Linked DNA regions of Nothobranchius furzeri. The protein of the gene in region 2 binds, or shares a complex with, the protein of the main gene of each other region. Links are inferred from orthologs where the notes say so. Each region holds a gene or a part of one and is shown on either strand. Other genes may lie near its edges.

The links.
Region 1: the proteins of dcun1d3 (region 2) and ube2f are in contact, whole or in part, in a crystal structure (PDB 4GBA), measured with the Homo sapiens proteins. The link is inferred for Nothobranchius furzeri from reciprocal best matches to the Homo sapiens genes DCUN1D3 and UBE2F. Residues at the interface, in NP_775746.1 of Homo sapiens: Glu108, Glu109, Glu112, Pro122, Thr123, Glu124, Met139, Cys140, Glu194, Ile204, Ala207, Leu208; in NP_001265234.1 of Homo sapiens: Leu2, Thr3, Leu4, Lys7, Leu8.

Annotation. Positions count from the first base shown.
Region 1 is NC_091754.1:2,840,428-2,844,800, reverse strand, and holds the start of ube2f (NEDD8-conjugating enzyme UBE2F), read right to left. Parts: upstream 3,076-4,373; 5' UTR 2,864-3,075; intron 757-2,863; exon of another isoform or gene 734-756; 5' UTR 677-733; coding exon 562-676; intron 1-561. UniProt on the Homo sapiens protein: Accepts the ubiquitin-like protein NEDD8 from the UBA3-NAE1 E1 complex and catalyzes its covalent attachment to other proteins. Together with the E3 ubiquitin ligase RNF7/RBX2, specifically neddylates cullin-5 (CUL5).
Region 2 is NC_091756.1:31,621,034-31,625,539, reverse strand, and holds the start of dcun1d3 (DCN1-like protein 3), read right to left. Parts: upstream 2,891-4,506; 5' UTR 2,506-2,890; intron 1,500-2,505; 5' UTR 1,433-1,499; intron 1-1,432. UniProt on the Homo sapiens protein: Contributes to the neddylation of all cullins by transferring NEDD8 from N-terminally acetylated NEDD8-conjugating E2s enzyme to different cullin C-terminal domain-RBX complexes and may play a role in the cell cycle progression by regulating the SCF ubiquitin E3 ligase complex, after UV damage.

The DNA.
Region 1 (4,373 bases), on a different chromosome or scaffold from region 2:
ACAGAATGAACTGAATAGCACGAAGGCCGGAGTGAGAAAAAAGTCTTAATGGGTGCGAGCACAAAGAAACTAATGATTGTACTTTCCTTCGTCAGACAAAGACACAAGAAGCTTGTCTCTGATTGGCTAACAGCAACACGACTACCACTGACTGTCTGCTCTGCAACGCTGATGATTTATCTCCACCAATAACACAAGCCTGGAGGAGTTCTGCTGTGTGGTGGAGTTGCTAATGCTAACGGTTAGCTTCTACTAACCGAGACGTTCTCTGCTGTTTCCTGGACTAAACCAACAACAGCCTTCCCCGTCGTGAGTCCAGATGGGTGAGTCCATGAATGTTAGTGACAGTGTGACGTAAATCTGTCAGGATTTTCTAGAGTTTCACCATCTGTTTTCTATCAGAAGCTAATGCAGGAGGTAGGTGTAGGAGACTATTTTCATGTTCAGCCTGCATGAAAAACTCATTACTATTAGAATCAGAGACAATCATTAGTAATGGTTCAGTGTTCCACGCCTACAAATCCTTCAGAGTGGAACGAGACGATAAGGAGATACTGGTACCTTTGGTCAGGAGGCGGTCCCTGATGGAGACCCTGTGGGTGGAGTCTGAGGCTCCAGAGGCACGGCTTGCTTTCCCTCCATCCTCCTTCTTCAACTTGCTAGCCAATGTAAGCATGGCTACGCTGCTGAGACACGCCTCTCTCTGCCCCGAGCCTCACCGCCTGTCCAACGTCTGCCAGTGACACAGATCCACATCTTCATTTTATCAGAATAGATAAACAAACAAACAGAGAAACAACAAAGTGTCTGTTTGTATGTGAGAAAGTTGGTTTGAATGTTCCGCTCAGAGCCGGCCGGGAGGGAACAGAGGTGTGAGAAAACGCTGAATAAGAGCCGCTTCGCTTTGAAACTAATCTGCTGAAAGTTTCCACCAAGAGGAGTGATTGTGTCTGTGACTCATCGTGTTGGTCACCAGCATCAAAGAGCACCTGGAGTGGGAATAAATGCATAAACTCAGATTACACTAAACAGGTGGAGCGGCTCGGTCTAATGCAGAATCAGACGTTTCCTGTTCAACGGTGTCATGTTTTCTATTTGATGTTTAAACAAGAAAAACTGAAAACACTTCAGAAGGAAAAACAATGCAGTGATTATTTTGGACATTTTTCTCTCTGAGTCTCTAAAGTGTTACCAGCTGGTTTTCAACTTTTTAGTCCAAACCACCAAAACAGTCCTTGGGTGTGACTCAGCGACACGCTGCTGTGACGTTTTAAACCGAACTGTAATCCTGTTGAAGTCAGACAGGGTTTCTGACACCACAACATGATGACTTCAGCAAACAAAGATGAACTTTATGTTTCACTTATGATGCCATAGCAAAGTCAAGCCCCCTGAGCCTCATCAGGAAAGGTCACGGCTAGTCTCTGGATGTAAACAAACAAATGGGTCCATTTGTGCTTTCAGATGAGTGGAAAACAAAACTAAAATGTTTGGGACAATTTGAGCCAAAGCAAGAAAAGTTGGAGCCAAGTTTGCTTTAGGCCCAAATATCATTTATAATCTTTATATTATAACTGATGTCCTGACTCCACCTGTATTAGTGCAACAAACCCAGGTAAAAAGAGGTTTCCTGTAACGTCTCCACTCTGTAAAACCCAGTTTGTGCACTGGGTGAGCTCACTCAGAGGGGGAGTGATGGTGTCGTGTGTCGCCGAGCCCGACTCGACACACACCTGCCCCAGCTGTCAGTCACCTCATATGTCTGTACGGCAACATCATCACAGCAGAGCTCACAAAGTCAGCGGCAAAACAAACGCAACAACACTTTAATCGCCGCACTACGGTAGTGCTTGTACACCAAACTTTTAACAAGGTCTTGTACAATAGATGTTTTGTTTTTAGAAAACCTGAAAGACTCTTTAGGCTTTCCCTTAAACCTACCCAACAATCTTTTCTTTGTATCATTTCAAGCCACTTTCACCTGTACGTTTAATAAAAGTGATGAAGTAAGAAAGATGCATCTGTTTGTTAACCTATCAATCACAGACCTCGTTATAAATGGTCTCAAGATATTGTCGCCCAGAGGTCAATCAAAGGGAAAAGAAAGACAGGCAGCCCTAATCAGATAATACCTAAAAGAGTCTTAACATTCAACGAAGTGTCATGCAGTTCTAGTTTTATGCTTCAATAAATAAATACATATATATACACACACACTCAATTTAGAGCTTGAGTCTGAGCATAACATCAGCGGGGAGTACTCATTATTTATGAAAATAAATTGTTTTGTCAAAGAAAAAGTCTGAAGACTAATTTTCTAAAGTATAAGGTGAACTTCTCTGTCTATTTTGCTCTGGATGCTTGATCATTAGTATACTAATTTATTTCCATAAAAACTGATCATAAAGCTAAAAATAGTGCATGCCATTTGTTTTGTCCTTATTTTTCAGGCCTGTTTGTGGTCAGACGTCTGACCTGCTACAGCTTTAACAGTGAGTCTAGCCTATTAATCACAAATTAATGCTCACTTCCCTCATTTCGTCTCATCTAGGTGGCCTGCCTTTCACACACGAATCCAGTCAACGTGACAACAGAGGAATCCTAACAAACAACCCAAGTCTTCTTAAAGGCGCTGAAACCAGCTGATTTAGAGCGACAACTTAAGATTTCACCTTCTTCCTCCTCCTCTTTGGTCGGGTTACCATAACAACACCTCGCTAATGTTGCTAATAAAAGCTACGTAGACGTTTCCAGACAGATCGCTCAACACCAGGTTTCTGCTCACAAGCACAAATGACACGGCTCCTTTCTGACGGCTGAACTTTTCACACCAGGAGCCGCTTGTGTGTTCTTTGTGTGTTACCTTCTGTCTCCCAGCTAGCTCTTCGTGCTAAACCATAATCAGCGGCTCTGCGAGCTCAAGCTGCCGCCAGCAGCACCACACCTGGCGGGTAGCAGACGCGTCCTCCTCTCAAAGGATCCAAAACTAGTTATTACCGATTCTACAACAGACTGGGAACTGATTTGGGAATCAGCTGACAGAAACTTCGCTCCGGTGGCAAACGGAAGCGCAATGGAGCAGTGCCCTGTTATTTGCTTCCGTGTGGACACACGGTAATGATAAATAGTTCCGCGCTGCTTGGTGGACGGTTATAAACATTTTAATAACCGTTAATATTATAATTATCATTAGTATTATTGTTATTGTTACTATTACTAATACTACTTATAATAATAATAATAATTTTTATTTTATTATTATTTTTATAATGATGATGAAGATAATAATAATTGTTATTGTTAGTAGTAGTAGTAGTAGTAGTAGTAGTAGTAGTAGTAGTAGTAGTAGTAGTATTTGTAATGATGTGGTTGGAGGAAAATGTCCACCTTTACAAATAATTATGAACCTGTAAAGATTTAATATTTCATTGTGATTATTGACCCAGTGAGAGTTGGACTCTGCCAGTTCATCCAGTTAAAATCCTTTACCTCAGAACCCTCCCCAGTCAAGTCAGGTGTGCCCCAGGGCTCTGTCCTGGGGCCCCTCCTCTTCATAGTATATCTCCTCCCTATCGGCAAAATCTTCCGCAAATTCAATATCCAGTTTCACTGCTTTGCAGATGACACCCAGCTCTACATTTCCAGTAAGCCCAACTCAACTCTCCCTCCATCCTCCCTTACACTCTGCCTCTCTGAAATCAAATCATGGTTCACCTCTAATTTCCTCAAACTCAACGGCAATAAAACTGAACTTCTTCTTGTTGGCACTAACTCCACCCCCTCAACATCTGACAGCTTTTCTTTAACTATTGACAGCGCCACAGTCTCCCCCTCACCTCACGTCAAGAGTCTGGGTGTCATTCTCGACAGCTCACTTTCTTTTCAGGCTCACATTAATAACATAATTCGGTCAGCATACTTCCATCTACGTTCCATAAACCGTCTCCGTCCCTCACTGACCCCTCACACTGCCGCCATTCTCGTCCACAGCCTCGTCACCTCCCGTATCGACTATTGCAATTCACTTCTTTATGGTCTTCCCAACAAACTCCTTCATAAACTTCAACTGGTCCAGAATTCAGCAGCCCGTATTATCACCAGAACCCCTTCCTTTCACCACATCACGCCGGTTCTCCAGCAGCTTCACTGGCTCCCAGTTAAATTCAGGTCCATCTTCAAAATTCTCCTCCATACCTTCAAAGCAATCCACAACCTCTCTCCTCCATATATCTCAGACCTTATAAGTATTCACACCCCGTCCCGTTCACTCAGGTCTTCTTCTTCCATCCATCTTGTGGTTCCTTCTGCCCGTCTCGCTACCATGGGGAGCAGAGCTTTCAGCCGCTCTGCTCCTCGACTCTGGAACTCACTTC
Region 2 (4,506 bases):
TTCTTGCCGGTCCGCCATGTTTTTCCGCGTCCGACCGTCCGCGTGGTTAGAAATTTTCCGAGGTGCGCGTTGCGGAAATTCTGGGCCGTGCGGAGGCGCGGTGGAGGGGCGTGGTTGTTAAAATGACGCAAAATGACGCAACTTTTCCGTGCGGACCTCGCGGACGCGTCAAGCATAAACCAACCTTAACAGGTGCCACGCCGCATTGAAGCAGTCATTTCTGCAAAAGGATTCCCGACCAAGTATTGAGTGCATAACTGAACATAATTATTTGAAGGTTGACTTTTTTGTATTAAAAACACTTTTCTTTTATTGGTCGGATGAAAAATGCTAATTTCTTTGAGATAGGAATTTTGGGTTTTCATGAGCTGTACGCCAAAATCATCAATATTAGAAACATTAAAAGGCTTGAACTACTTCAGTTGTGTGTAATGAATCTAATATATATATGAAAGTCTAATGTTTATCAGTACATCACAGAAAATAATGAACTTTATCACAATATGCTAATTTTTTGAGAAGGACCTATATATAATGAGCCAGAATTGTTACAGTCTCTTGTAACACACAGGGCTTGTCTTCAGCTCCTGCAGGGTGGGTGTTAAAGAGAGCAGAGTAAAAATCTGTGTTATGAGGGATATGAATGATGTACAGATCAATTTCATTCCATCCACCCACACAGCTTTGTAGGTGATGTCTCATCAGACTGTGTGCAGTCCGTGAATGTAGGTAGTTACTGTTTAAGCTAGTTGAACAAGCTAATTACTTGGGTCATATCCCTTGAAGCCATGTCAGCATTTTGTGTAATCCTTTGACTGATGTGATGATGGGAGCCAACAGAAAAGTGTTTCTACAGTTTACATTTAGGTTAGAGCTAAACCTGATGCCTCATGTCTTGTTGTTGCTGAGATTATTGTTGCAGCATGTGAAAATAATGAGGGAAGTGCTTTAGAAATATGTCGCTAATGAAGTCTGGGATCGTTTAAAACAAACCTGCTTTTTCATAAAGGGAGAGTTTCCAAAGCCCTGTTTGTTGCATGTTTTGATTGTTTAACTAACTTTTATCAGTAAAACTCTAAAAAATTGATACGTAACTTTGCACCCAGACACAACAAATCCTGTGATCATTTTTTTAAAATCAGAAAGACATTCCATTAACATTTTTCAGACTGAATGCTCAACAATGCTTCATATATTTTATATTCTCATAGATGTGGTTGTAATTCATGAGTAAAACCAGATCAATCACTTTTTGTTTTTACTTGCAAACATCAATTTGGTAGTTTGTTTAATCTGTAAATGCATCATTTTCTTTCCACTAACCTAATTACTAAAACAGACATGGTTACCACACACACACACACACACACACATGATGTGATGACTTCATGCATTATATCATAAAAGAGCAGCTGATGACAATTTCACTTACAGACACTCCGTCAGATGGCATTGTCTTTCAGTTCTGCTCCATCATTGTGACCTTGAGATCAGCAACGCTGCAAAGACACATTATATTGTCATCATAAGCAGAAAGCAATAGCTCTTCATTCCCAAATCTGCAGGGACTATTTTTGTCAATACAAAGAGAAAGTCAAAACTCTCCTCTTGCAAAATAATTATTGGACAGTTTTAAAATACCCTAAAATGACAGTTAGAAGTCATTGTGCAATATTTACACAGTGGGGTAATCTTTCTGTGTCTCCACTTGAAGGGTTTCTGTACAACTCTTTGCTTCCACAAAGAAAGAGTCTCACATGTTATAATGAAACATAATTCACAATGCTTAATGCAAAATACACAGCTTTGATTTTTAAACCCAAACTCAACTCTGTTCAGATCATTGATAAAGTCACTAGTCATACATTAATAAGAAGAGTCAGGCTTCAGGGGCAAATTGCCAGTACAGATCAATGTCCTGGACATGTAGAGGCACGTCTCCCACACTTCTAACTTGGCCAACTTCAAGTCTCTGACATCAGATGGATGTCTAAAGGCCCCCTTTTCCACAATAAACAGGCATCACCGTGTAACACATCCAGACGTCAATTTAACTGGATTAGCTGGTCTTAAAAACTGTCCGAGGCGAAGAGCAGCCCAGATATTAAATTGTAATATCTGCAGCTATGTTGTCACCGAGCACGAGCTGCTGGGTTTAAAAACACACATCTGATAACGATGATCTGAATAAGTTATGCTTGTTGGAGACAGACAAGCTCTTGATCAGGATCAAGGGAGCTTAACAGCACATGTACAGCACTTCCAAATGAAATGTAAACACTGATTCAGTTTCTGTTTAATAGTCCGCTTAAACTGCTTAAAGTAGTCGGGCAATACTCGCTAATCGGTTACTGATCAACGATCCATCCTCGTCACCGGGCCATTTAAACATCCACATCTAAAGTGCCTGGCCCTGACCACGTCGACATAGCTAAAAGTTAGCTAGCGGCTATGCTAAGTCTTCTCCGGCTGACACAACGAGATAAATATCCTCAAAAAGCTTACCTTTTTAGGAAAACGTAGGCCGCGTCATTTGAATGTACATCACTTCATAAATGTCACTGAAAACAAAGGTGGGCAAATAAGTTGGCCGAAATACCAGCAGTAACGAACTGAGGCAAACTCGTCGTCAGATTGTTAGCAAACTAGCAGGCAGCTGACCAAAAGAAAAAAAAAGAAAAAACTTCCATAATAAAGTCGCACTCTATTCTACCTTTAGGGAATGATAAAATGATTAGCAGTCAGAGTTTGTATCGGAATTCATTTTTGTTGGTTCGCAGTTTAAAACAAGTTAAAGAGCCACTCTCGGACTAAGGCTGCCTATTTCTTTGTGCTTCCCCCTTTTAGTCATTGAACTACATTATGGACATTTTCCTGCATCACTTCCTCTGTCTGTGCTAACAGCCAACAGCTGATCTCCATCTGAGCGGGGGTGTCACACCGAATTCTGTCACCATAATAGTTTGGGACTTGACCGGGGAAGTCGAAAAATGTTTTTGTTTTGTTTTCCAGAGTAAAACACTGGATATGGAAAAACAGGAAACAGTTTGTACAGATTTATTTATGCGCTCATTTGCATTTTTAAAATGTAAAGACATGTGGTACAAGTGTATAAAAAACACATCTGCAAGCAGTTTTTTTATTTAATTTTTTAATTGGAGGGTAATTTTATTTGCATTGAGTAGCTTGGTTTAGATTTCACACACCCACACCAGTGGCGGCTGCTGAAAATAATTCTTGGTGGGGCTATGTGAAATATTTCCCTTCTTAGTCCACAATTATTAAAATGCACAGTTGAAAAATGACTACAACTGCGAAACAATCATTAATTTCCCTCCTTTAAATAAGCAGTTTTACAGATTAGATAGATTTTCAAATTTACAGCTAAAAAGACTATAATATCAATAATACTCAAATAAATGCACACGCCAATCATGTGAGCCTTTAAAAGCAACCACAGTCAATAATTTCCATTTCTGTTTTTATTTCCATTTTCTTTTGACAAGCTTGAGTTTTCAGTCTCCTATGTCCTATTTATCTCTCACCTGCTCATACAAAGCATGCACACCTCAAAGCGCAGCACTCAGTGCCACCAGTAGGTTTAACAGGACATAGAAACTGAATTACATATCCTGCTTTAAAGGCACATTTGGCAGTTTTGCTTTCTTTAGCACCCCCTAGTATTCGTTTCGTAGAACCAAAAGCAAAACACATCTCTTTGCTGTGCATTTGTCTTTTTAACACTTGAATCTTAATTGCTGAAAATCTCCCCAGCCTTCCTTTGTGTCTACATGAGCGATTTATCACTAAATCAAACAAATCAGCTGTGTTCATGATCTAAAACACGAAGGAAACAGGCTGGAAGCAGGCTGCAGCACCAAGTATGTCAGCTCTATTTTTTCTAAGCCCAACAGAGTAGACCGGCTTTCAATTCAACTTTGTTTTTCACCTTGTTAGTCATTTTCATTCCCACTCCTATTGCGTAATATTGTTTTTGAACGATTAAAAGTGCAGAGGACAAGAACTTACATTGAAAAAAGTGTGGGGGACACCCCCCATCCCAAAAAACAAACAAACAAAATTATAATAACAAAAACTACGTCCATTGTGTGTCATCAATGGAAACCTTTTGCCTCATTCACTTGGTGGGTCAGTAAGCTTAGAGAGCCAATTGTAATTTGAGGATTGAACTGCCTGAATGTCTTTTTGTTTATCATTTTAATAATGTGACCAACTCTGTGCGGTGCATATGTATGTAGTGGAGGCATAGTTACATCATTGAACAGGACTGACCCACACAATGACAACAAAGGTCTTCTGATTAAGAGAGTTGTCATAATTATTTCATCCATCCATTTTCTGAGCGCGCTTGTCGACGCGGGGTCGCGGGATGGGGGTGGGGTGGGGGGGCTGGTGCCTATCTCCGGCGGTCAATGGGCAATCATGCGGAGTACACCCTGGACAGAGAGCCAGTCCATCACAGGGCAACACAGAGACACACAGGGC